Sus scrofa: one gene and its partner. The protein of the gene in region 1 purifies or fractionates together with the protein of each later gene. This does not show direct contact. Links are inferred from orthologs where the notes say so. Each region holds a gene or a part of one and is shown on either strand. Other genes may lie near its edges.

The links. The genes of interacting proteins can lie anywhere in the genome.
Region 2: the proteins of EIF4E (region 1) and HHEX purify together in Homo sapiens (affinity purification with western blotting; 3 studies listed by BioGRID and IntAct, with this or other methods). This does not show direct contact. The link is inferred for Sus scrofa from reciprocal best matches to the Homo sapiens genes EIF4E and HHEX.

Annotation. Positions count from the first base shown.
Region 1 is NC_010450.4:121,436,409-121,441,660, reverse strand, and holds part of EIF4E (eukaryotic translation initiation factor 4E), read right to left. Parts: intron 1,126-5,252; coding exon 1,019-1,125; intron 1-1,018. UniProt on the Homo sapiens protein: Acts in the cytoplasm to initiate and regulate protein synthesis and is required in the nucleus for export of a subset of mRNAs from the nucleus to the cytoplasm which promotes processes such as RNA capping, processing and splicing.
Region 2 is NC_010456.5:104,191,877-104,197,854, reverse strand, and holds the start of HHEX (hematopoietically-expressed homeobox protein HHEX), read right to left. Parts: upstream 3,432-5,978; 5' UTR 3,395-3,431; coding exon 3,034-3,394; intron 960-3,033; coding exon 781-959; intron 600-780; coding exon 549-599; intron 1-548. UniProt on the Homo sapiens protein: Recognizes the DNA sequence 5'-ATTAA-3'. Transcriptional repressor. Activator of WNT-mediated transcription in conjunction with CTNNB1.

The sequences.
Region 1 (5,252 bases):
CTTTCCTCCTTCACAGGCTAACCTGAAACCATCTATTCCTGCTGTAAACATTAGTATACTTTCTATTCACTCTTCAAAGTACTCCAATCTTATTCCACCTACTAAACTTTCTCCAACACTAGCAAGGATTTGGCCTTCAATCCAATGAATATTTGACTCTTTTGTGGCACTGAAGTTATTGACCATCTTTTCCTTAAAAAAAAAAAATAATTTTCCTGACCAGCACACTCTGTCCTACTTTATACAGTTTATATGTCTATACCCTTTATAGGCATTTTTGCTCAAAAAAACCCCTATGTGGGAGTTCCCATCATGGCTCAGTGGTTAACAAATCCGACTAGGAACCATGAGGTTGTGGGTTCAATCCCTGGCCTTGCTCAGTGGGTTAAGGATCTGGCATTGCCATGAGCTGTGGTGTAGGTTGCAGACATGGCTCGGATCTGGCGTTGCTGTGGCTGTGGTGTAGGCCGGTGGCTACAGCTCCTATTAGACCCCTAGCTTGGGAACCTCCACATGCCTCGGGTTAGTTAAAAGAAAAGACAGAAAGACAGAAGGAAAAAAAAACAAAAAAAAAAAACCCTATGTGGAGTTCCCCTTGTGGCTCAGTGCGTTAAGGATCCAGCCTTGTCATCAATGTGGCTCTGGTCACAATTGTGGCTCAGGTTTGATCCCTGGCCTGAGAACTTCCACGTGCTGTGGGTGCAGCCAAACTGCCCCCCCACCCGCCGATGTGCTAATATTCTAAGCCTCCGTTGTGAGTCAAGTTCACTTAAGAGAACTTATTTACTACTGTGGTTTCAGTTACCAATAACCAGTGAATTTCAAACCAATACTTCAAAGTCCTACTTTCTGAGCTCAAGATTCACAAATAAAACTACTTGGTAAACATGGGTCATCCAAATGAAAATGGAATCGACCTATCTAAAACTATTCTCATCTAATCTTTCCCTCCAAACCTGTCCCATTCACCATTTACTTTGTTGCCTAAGTCAGAAAACCTACTTGTCAAAAAACTTACCTGTTTTGTAAAGGATGTTTAATATAGTGTTCTGGGTTAGCAACCTCCTGATTAGATTCTGTTTTCTCTTCTTCTGTAGGCGGGGGATTAGGAGTAGGGGTGGTTTCCTGTTGGAAAATAATTAAACATTATAAATTTTTTAACGTGAATAAATTTCTTAATTTATATGACAGCAATAACTCTAAATAAATTTGAACCAATATTGTCCATATCATTTTTTTAAGGAGAAGGAATTACAGCAAAAGCTTTTGATTAAACAGACAATCTCTAAAGAAAGCATTACTAAAAAGACAAAAAAAAAAAAAGGCACCAGACCATTCTGGCATCTCTCCACTGAGATGCAAAGAGTTTAGTTTCTCTAATTCAAAAATATAATGATAGTATTTTTCATATACTGTTATCTTCTTACACATTTTAATATCAGAAAAATTGTGATAGGAGTTCCCGTCGTGGCTCAGTGGTTAATGAATCCCACTAGGAACCAGGAGGTTGTAGGTTCGATCCCTGGCCTTGCTCAGTGGGTTAGCGATCCGGTGTTGCCGTTGAGCTAGCTGTGGCGTGGGTCAAAGACTCGGCTCGGATCCCGCATGGCTGTGGCTCTGGAGTAGGCCGGTGGCTACAGCTCTGATTAGACCCCTAGCCTGGGAACCTCCATAGGCCGCGGGAGCAGCCCAAGAAAATGGCAAAAAGACAAAAAATAAATAAATAAATAAAAAGATTGTGAGAGACCATGCAAAAAAGTTGGGAAAATCAGGTATCTTTCTTAACATACAATTAAAGTGCTATGCATGCTTTCTGGGGAGGGGGTTTAAGTTTGGAAGTGCAACTAATTATATTACAATGACTTAAAAAAAAAAAAAAAAACTTTATCAAGCCAGTACTACACAGGTCCTTGCCTTCATGTTATACCGTTATGACACATGGTAACTTAAAAGTTCAGCAACTTCTTTCTCAATTTGCCCTAAGGAAAAAAGCTAGACATTGGCTTGAACTTAAATCTTCTTCTAGGTTACACATAATACTGTCATCTAAAAATGTCAAGAAAAAAAAGAAACGTGGGAATAAGACATGTTCTCCACATCACTCCACGTAGTTCTTTAACCTATTTTAAGCTGGTATCAACAAAAAGGTGGTTAAGAAAAGGGCTGAAACAAAAGCTGATACAAAAAACGGGGGCACTGCAACAAGGGTGTGGATATCAGATTCAAATCAAGCCAGCAAAACAATAGATACACTGTCACATTAACAACACTAAGCAAATCAGAGATGTATAATCTAAAAACAGCCCTCAGGGAGTTCCCGTCAGGGCTCAATGGTTAACGTATCCGACTAGGAACCATGAGCTTCGGGTTCAATCCCTGGCCTCAATCAGTGGATTAAGGATTTGGGGTTGCCATGAGCTGTGGTGTAGATCGCAGACGGGGCTCGGATCCCGAGTTGCTGTGGCTCTGGTGTAGTCTGGCGGCTACAGCTCCAATTGGACGCCTAGCCTGGGAACCTCCATATACCACAGGTGTGGCCCTAGAAAAAGACAAAAAAATAAATAAATAAATAAAAAGAAGAAAATAAAAAAAGACCTCAAACAAAAACAAAAGACCTCAGAGAAGACACATTTTATAAAATACATTTTTCTTATCAACAAGACACTTCCAGGAACTACTTTTTCACTATCCTATAAAGTCAGTCATAGCAGGGGCTTTATCTTGATTTTGCTCACAATTGTAATGTCAATGATCACAATGCTACACTCAACAGAAACTTAACTGAATAAACTTAAATGTTTACTGAAGACTAGTTAAGGCCCTAAAATTTACATATAGTAGTAGCCAATGCCTTAAAATTAGCAACCATTTGTACAAGCATTTTCTCATCACAATTTAAGTCTTCAAGTAGATGGTCATTACCAAATAGCATTCCTTACTCTACTAGCTTAAAATTAATGATGGTCTCCACACAGAGGCAGTCTGAATGAATAGAGACAATAAGGAACAGTAAGGGACTGACAAGGCAGGTGGATTTGGGGAACAGGGTCCCAGAGAAAAGTAAACTGTAGAGAGAAATTCAAAAACACATGGGGGGGTAAAAAAAAACCCCACAAATCCTTGGCTGTGACTTAGTCCTAAACTGAGATGTTCAGAGTGCAATTCTGGGTGGTCTACCAGAGAACAGCTAAGCCAAGATTTCAGAGGATGAACAGCATTAGGAAGACCAAGTTCAGACCTAGCCAGAGTGGATGGTTGAAAATCCTCAGGTTTCAGATGAAATCCTAGAAAGGTCATGTCCTAGGAATTAGGTGAAATACACATACCTAACAGATTCTAAAACTAATCCTTGGCAGGATCAAGGCAATCTATTGCTAACTGTCTTCAAGAACAAAACTCTACACTCTTCAGAGGAAAAACATAATCCTGAGGCTCTATGAATATTATTCGTAAGACCTAACAAACAATCAAATTACTAGACATGCAAATAATGTTTTGTTTTGTTTTGTTTTTACCAGCAACTAATGATGAAGAGATTAGGAGTTCCTTGATGGCCTAGCAGTTAATAATCTGGCATTGTCACTACTATGGTGTAGGTTTGATCCCTGGCCAGGAACTTCCCACAACATGGGTTCAGCCAAGAAAAAAATATATATATCACTTCCAAAGGAACAATAAGAATAACTGGTAGCGTCTCAACAGAAATTTTGGAAGCCACAAGACAACAGAATAACATCTCAATGCTGAAAGAAAAAACTGTCAACTTAGAATTAAGTGCCTAGGAAAAGTTATTCTCCAGAAATAGAGAAATAAGGAAACATTTGCACAACACCAGAAAGTCCAAAAAGAGGAACACTAAAGAAAGTCTCAGGTTAGAGGGAAAAGCTCCCGGATGAAAGCATGGAAGTACAAAAAGAATGAAAAGCGCAGGAAAAGTTAAGAAATACTGCCAATTCTCTTATTTAACTAAAAGACATACTCATAAGCTCAAGATTCTCATGGCAAACTACTCTTTCACAGCATTTGTTTACATCTTTACCTCAGCAGCACATAAAAAACAGCTCCTGCATACTGCCCCCCGAGTACAAATTTTCTCAGGTCATATATTGCTATGGCCATCTACTTATTGCAACAATCCATTCTTAATCAGTAGAAATTGTACACCAAAAAGTTTACCATCAATCATTCACTCTGTATGCATCTTAATTCTGCAATTATGTTGTAAATATACAAAATATATTTTTAAAAATTCACAAAGGAAATTTTTTGAGACTATTGACAAAGGCCTCATTACAAAATCATTTCGGTAATTTCTCTCAACTTATTATTAAAACCTCTTGACTCTGATACAAATAATCAAGATGCTTTCTTCATTATTTTCAACTTAGATAAAGCAAAAGTAATAGCCATGTAGGATGTTCTTTTAAACTCTCAGGTTAATCCATGGCAGTTGGCTATTCTATAGGTAAATTCCAATCCCTTATCTTTGGAATTTATGGTAACATACAATGAGAAGTACTTTCCCGAAAGATGGCCATGATGCATTAAATTTTTCGATCAAAAATGACCTTTTAGGGAGTTCCTCTCGTGGCTCATTGGCAACAAGCCCAACTAGTATCTACGAGGACTCAAGTTCCATCCCTGGCCTCGCTCAGTGGGTTAAGGATCCAGCACTGCCATGAGATGTGGTATAGGTCGCAGACGCAACTCGGATCTGGTGTTGCTACGGCTAGAGTGTAGGCAGGCAGTAGGCTGGCAACTGCAGCTCTAATTACACCCCTAGCCTGGGAATTTCCACATGCCTCAAGTGCAGCCCTTAAAAAAAAGAAAAGATGTTAATTATGGACATACGCCAAGTAAGAATGAAGAAGTATACTTTTATTTTTATTTATTTATTTTTTGTCCTTTTGCCATTTTCTGGGCCGCTCTCACAGCCTATGGAGGTTCCCAGGCTAGGGGTCGAATCGGAGCTGTAGCCACCTGCAGAATCCGAGCCGCATCTGCGACCAACACCACAGCTCAGGGCAACGCCGGATCGCTAACCCACTGAGCAAGGCCAAGGATCAAACCCGCAACCTCATGGTTCCTAGCTGGATTCATTAACCACTGCGCCACGACGGGAACTCCAGAAGTATATTTTTAAAAGAACCGTAACAAAAATATTTTCAGGTCATTCCTCAGTTAATCAGTTAAGCATATACCTCAATTAACTGTAACAAATCCCCAAATTATTCATTACTTGTCCTAATTGG
Region 2 (5,978 bases), on another chromosome or scaffold:
TCCAAACATGCTTGGATATTCTCTTACTGTTTTTATACTCATCTTAAGAGCTAGAATTAGAGAGAAAATTATTTTTTAACCCTTTGATATTTAATTCTTCTAAAAACAGTGCAAACAAGACTTAAAGGTGTTTATTTCCTTATATTTACCCTTGAGCTCTGCCTGGTTTTATTATGGCTGTGTAAATAAAAGAAACAATTTTCTCCCAAAGATAACTGCTTAAGTCATTTACTGTCAATTACTTTATCTTTCCTGCGTTAATTAGATAAACAACATATGGGGTTTATAAAACAATTAGCTGGGAGTTTTACTAGCCAGTGTGTGAAAACCCAAGCATAATTGATATAGGAACTGCATTAGGTGCTTTTAGCATTACTGCCGCCTGAACAACTCATCCTGAATTTCAGCAGGACTATTTGCCTTTTTAATCAAGGTGAAGAGGTTAAATAGTCCCTTAAATGACTTTTGCATACAACCTATAACAGGCCTCGCATTGTGATAACATGATAAAAATATTTATTTCCATAGAAACAGAACCATGTCAATACCTGTTTTAGTCTTCTCCATTTAGCGCGACGATTCTGAAACCAGGTTTTGACCTACAGGAGAGACAGAAAGAAAACTTGCCATGAGCCCAAAGGGACCTGGGGAGGAGGTGAGCCAAGCGGTTCAGGGAGCAGACTCGCGCTCCAGGAGCCAGTGCCCCCCCGCGGCTCCAAATCTCACTCCGGCCCCCGATCCCTCCCCCAGGAGTCTCCCCAGGCCCCTGAGCGAGCTCACCTGCCTCTCGCTAAGCTGTAGCATCTTGGCCAGACGCTTCCTCTCAGGCGGGGAAAGGTATTTCTGGGTCTCAAACTTCTTCTCCAGCTCAATGGTCTGGTCATTGGAGAACCTAACCTGGCCGCCTTTCCTTTTATGCAGAGGCCTCTGAAGGAAGGGGCTCCAGAGCAGGGGTTTGCCTGTGGGCAAGAGTGGCTATTAGAAAGGACCCTGTAGCGGCCTGACCCACTTCAGACTTGTCTGGCCCTGAGAGTGACAAAGAGAAGGAAGGGAGCCTGGAGGACCCGCTACCAGATACACCGACATATACAGACCCAGAGATACAGGAACACCCAAAGTCACACGCCTACACTGCCTATGCACATAGATCACACTGTACACTCCCAGACACACACAACCATCACGCCCATAGCTAAATATAACCGTTTTGATTCCCAGAAGAACATCGACTATAAATTGAGCTTAAAATCACCATGATCTTTTTAACCAGTCGCTCTCAGAATTTATACACAACTTTTTGCTCCTCTGGGCCCTCTCTCTTGGGGGAGCGCACTTTCCAAAGATCAAGTGGGTGTTACGTTGAGGAGGAGCGGGTTTGTCGCACTAGTCAGGCGCGTTGCTGCCGGGGCGGCGCCGGGACCAGGAGACCACCTCCAGGGTGCGAGGGAAACCCTCCCGCCCGGGCGCGGGCTTCAGGGCGCGCGCGCGTAGCTTTCAATCCTGCCTGGAGGGCGCCGCGGCCTTCTCTGATTTCACACCCGGCTCGTGGGGGCGGCCAGTAAAAGCCACCCCGTGGGCTATGGCAACATTTCCGTCAATGTGTTTCCTGTTGGTCTATCTCGAAAAACCCTTTGCTTCCTCCTGCACAGTCCCAGCAGTAACCCAAGGAAACCCAGGGCGCGCTCAGTGAAAATGCTCGCCCCCAGGTCCGGCCCAACCCGGCTGAGAGTCCGCCTTCAGCCCCAGCAGGCGAAGAGAGTGACGACAGGCCTGTGGCACCAAACCCTCGAAGGCGGGATCAAAAACACAATATAATAACTCTAAAAAAAAAAAATCCTAAAATATAAACTCCCCCAAATCTCTGTAGCAAAGTAGAAAAGTGGAGCGCTAGGGGCTGCACCATAATAATGACATTACAAAGTCAATTAATTGAAATGTTAGTTGTCTGCCGGGTGCCTGCAGAAGCTGCTGATAACAGAGGTTAGATTTAAAACCTTGGTGACCCAAGGCAAGGAGCCCGGTTTTATTTACCCCAGGCTTCAGATGCCAGAGGCGCCAAGGGCCACCCGGAGCGTGGATCACGCTTATTTCTTTGGCCATGTACTGAGGGGACAAGTCCTGTAAACTCTATATGGCCAACGTGTCCGCGCTGCCCTTCCTACTCCAAAGACGTGTCGGTCAGTCCGTCCGTCCATGGGTCTGCAAGGCCTGCGCTACACGCTTTGAAAGCTGGCATTGTTTTTTCGAGATTTTGCTTACGTCAGGATTCAGACCGGTTCAAAACAGCCTCAAAAAAAAAAAAAAGGAAGCAACTGGTTATTTTAGCTGCCATAAAGTCACATCCCACACAGAGGAAATGAACAATATCAGAAAAACGGATCCCGGCTATCAGAAGTCGAGTGTTTCCTGAATTTGTCTGTATTGAGGATGTCGATAAAATAATCAGCAGCGTGCACTACTCCGGGGGAAGGGTCTGCTTCATGCAGCCAGGAAAACACTTAACAGCTTCTGAAACCAGATTTACTCCTATCGAGAACTCAAGATTTCCTGTATGAACGGAAAGGGTCAGGCTCTTTCACTGCACAAGCTTGTTGAACTAGGTCCAGCCCCGTAACCACCCGGCCCGGGAACTACCCTTGCCCCGCACGAGTGGCCTGGGGGGCCTTGGCACTCCCTTCCCAGTCCCCCCAGCTCAGGGAGCCCCACCCGGGCGACACGGGCCCCCAGGACTCCTTCGTCCGTCGGCCCTGGCGGCAGCGCCCGAGGTCTGGCCGGGGCCTGCTTGCCCCGACGCCTGCAAGGTGCAGGAAAACCAATCTGAGTCACAGTGCGGTCAGTCTGGGCCGCGCGCCGCCGGGGCCCGCGCCTCCCGTTCCCCGCGCGCGCCCGACAGCCGCTTTTCAATCGCTTTTGCCACAACTTTCTATTGCCTCCCCCTCCGCCCCCGCCGCCTCCTGGGCGCTGCCACCTGCCGGGTGGCGCCTTCCTCTCCGCCGCCCCGGCTCGGCCCCGCCATGACCCCGGCCGCCTTACCCAGGGGGTCGTGGCGGATCAGGGCGTGCGTGTAGTCATTCACCGACCGCGGGAAGGGGTACAGAGGGCCCCCGAAGCCGCTGGGTCCGTAGGCGGCGGCCAGCGCGGCAGCGGAGTGGTGCGAGAAGGCGGGGTGGATCGGCGTGGGCTCGTACACCGGGGTCCGGTAGGAGGACACGAGGCTGGTGAAGGAGGAGTTGGGGGACGGCAGCGTGGGCGTGGGGGTGGGCGCGGCGGGCCCGCGACCCAGAATGTCCTCGATGTAGAACGGCGTCGGGTGCGCAGGCTGCAGCAACGGCGTGGGCGCGTACAGCGGCACCCCCACGGCGCCAGCTGGGGGACCGGGGTGCGGGTACTGCATGGCTCTGCCGCGCTCCGGCCCCTCGGAGAGCTGCCGGCCCGCGCCGCGGCGCTACATTTATCCGCGCTCCGCGCTCCCGGCGATAGGCTCTGTCGGCCGCGGGGTGGGGCCGGGCACTCTGGCCCCTTCCTGCCGCCAGGCCCTGCGGCCAATGGCGCGGAGCCCCGGGAGCCGCCTCCCGCCCCCACCTTTGGCCCGCCCCCGTCGGCTGAGCTCCCCGCCCTCGGGACCAGCCCGCTTCCAGCCTCCGAGGACCCTGCGCCCCCGTGCCCAGCTGCCCGCACGCTCGGGGCTCCAGGCACCCCGGCCCGTGACGCCCTCGAAAGAAGTCCGGGACACCCTCGAAGGAAGCCCAGGGCCGCGTCCGTCGAGCGAGGCGTGAGGCAAGCAGCTGCCTGGAAGGCGGATTCAAGCGGCTGTAGCCCCGGTGGGAACACACCTCCACCGAAACCCGGGTGCACTGGTCGGAGCCCGGACCTGGGGTGGCTGCAGCTGCCCCAGGGAAGGGACGGCTGGACTCGGGCTCTGCAGGCGTAGAGGTCACTGGCAGGACTGCGGCTTCGCAGGCCCGAGAGCACCCTCCCTGGTCGGCGCGCTCCCTGGAGTAACGGTGGCACAGGCTGTTGCCCCGGGCGTCTAGGGGAGCTCGCGGTGGGAGAGAGTGCCTTGGGATCCTGGGGCAGCTCCAACGAGAGAGATCCACGGCCCTTGCCTGCCCAGTGGGGTAAGGATAACTAGACTTCAGGTGTTCTGGACTCTTGGCCTCTCTACCTTGTTTCACTTGTGGTCCCCGGGACTCAGCCACTTCCCGGGGACGCTGGCAGAAGTCCCTTCCGGCAGGAATTAAGGGAAGGCCTGAGTCCTACGGCGTCAGCCAAAAGCTGTGCGATTTTCTCCGACCCATTAGGAGCTGCTCCTGGTCCCCTATCCCCGGGTCCAGGGGGATCACAGCTGCGCGCAGCCCCGCTTTTGCCGTTTTGCACGTGTTTTCTATTGAAGCCTTGACGCTACCCGGTGTGGCTTCGGTTCTGTGCAGCTCCACTCGCCTGCGGGGCAAGGGGGCATTTTCTTGATTGACGCCCTCCTGCGGTAGTCACACCTCGCGGTGAGCGGTTTCTGCTAAGGTCCTCCATGAACCGTGGAAATGAGAGGACTTCCCGGCTTTTTCTATTCAGCGTTTTTATTTGCCTCTTGGAATTATTTCTCCGACTGCAGCAGAACGGCAGTAGGAAGAGTGGGCTGGAAGCCGGATGGCCTGGATTCAAGTTTAAGTCTGCACTTTTTTGTTGAGCACCTACTGTGTGCCAGCAGTGTACAAGACAGATTTTGTTCCTGTCCTCGAAGTGGCTGGAAACAAATTTAATACAGTGACTTATGTATGTGCTAGGAAGAAGTATGTGATGTTTGAAAAATGAGTAGGTGTGAAGGAGCCTAGAGAGGGACTAACACTTCAAACCCAGGGAATAACATGTGAGAGTAGTCAATACAGCTTTTCAAGTTGGGTTCCCTGAGTTTTTCTCATCTGAAACATTTAAGACTTTAAACATTTCTAATCCTTTTGAATTCAGGTCATAGGCATCTATCAGAATCTGATGACAGACCAGAGCTACAAACACAGACAAACACAGCACGTATAATATGCTGTCATTTGGGTTAAAACTTTGGTAGAGGGCAAGAATATTTATCTGTGCTTATGCTCTATTTTATAAACCATCTCTGTAAGGATAGACAAAAAACTTATAACGTTGGCTGTCTATGAAGAGAGAGGTGGAGTAGGGAAAAGAATGTACTGTACACTTTGTGACTATCTGGAGAATTGAACCGTGTGGATGTGGGACCTATTCATAGTATAAGCTGGTCCTTGAAAGAGTGGCTGGTTCTAGGTCTGGGGCAGGAAAAGTACAAGGTGAGCTCAAGGCATCTTGTGCCAGAAATCACGAGAGGAAACAGGAACTGGCTTGAAGGGGCTTCCATTGGCCCAATTTGGGGTAATTGTAGGCATCGAAACACATTATGGATTATGAGATCATAGAATCATTATCTGTAGTGATCCTCAAAGAAAGAGAAAAAGGGATGGTAGGTGGTAAAGCTGGAAGAATGCTAGCTAGCTAAGAAATGTAGAAAGATTGATAAAATCAAAAAATGTAATAATTCATTCAAGAATCATTGGACACCAAAACCATCAAGTGGACACTGTTGAGGATGAGAATTTTCACAAGGTATCATAGTATCACCCCAGTTGATTAGATTCTGGATATTTTTTAAGCTATAAAAGACTTTCCTATAAAAATGGAGATAACAGGGGAAAACTGAACAGGGATTGTGTGTGAGATGACATTATTAAACTAATGGTCATTGTTTTAGGTGTGATATTGGTATTGTGGGTAAAATGTCCTTATTCTGGGAGATACAAGCTAAGGAATTTAGGTGTGAAGGGTCATGAAATCTGCAACTTTTGAATCAGCATACACACACACATATACATATGTACATATATGTAAAGAGGGAGATAAACCAAAGTAGAAAAATTGTCACTGACGGATTTAAGTGAGGAGTATACAGACATTCATTGTACTAGTTTCAG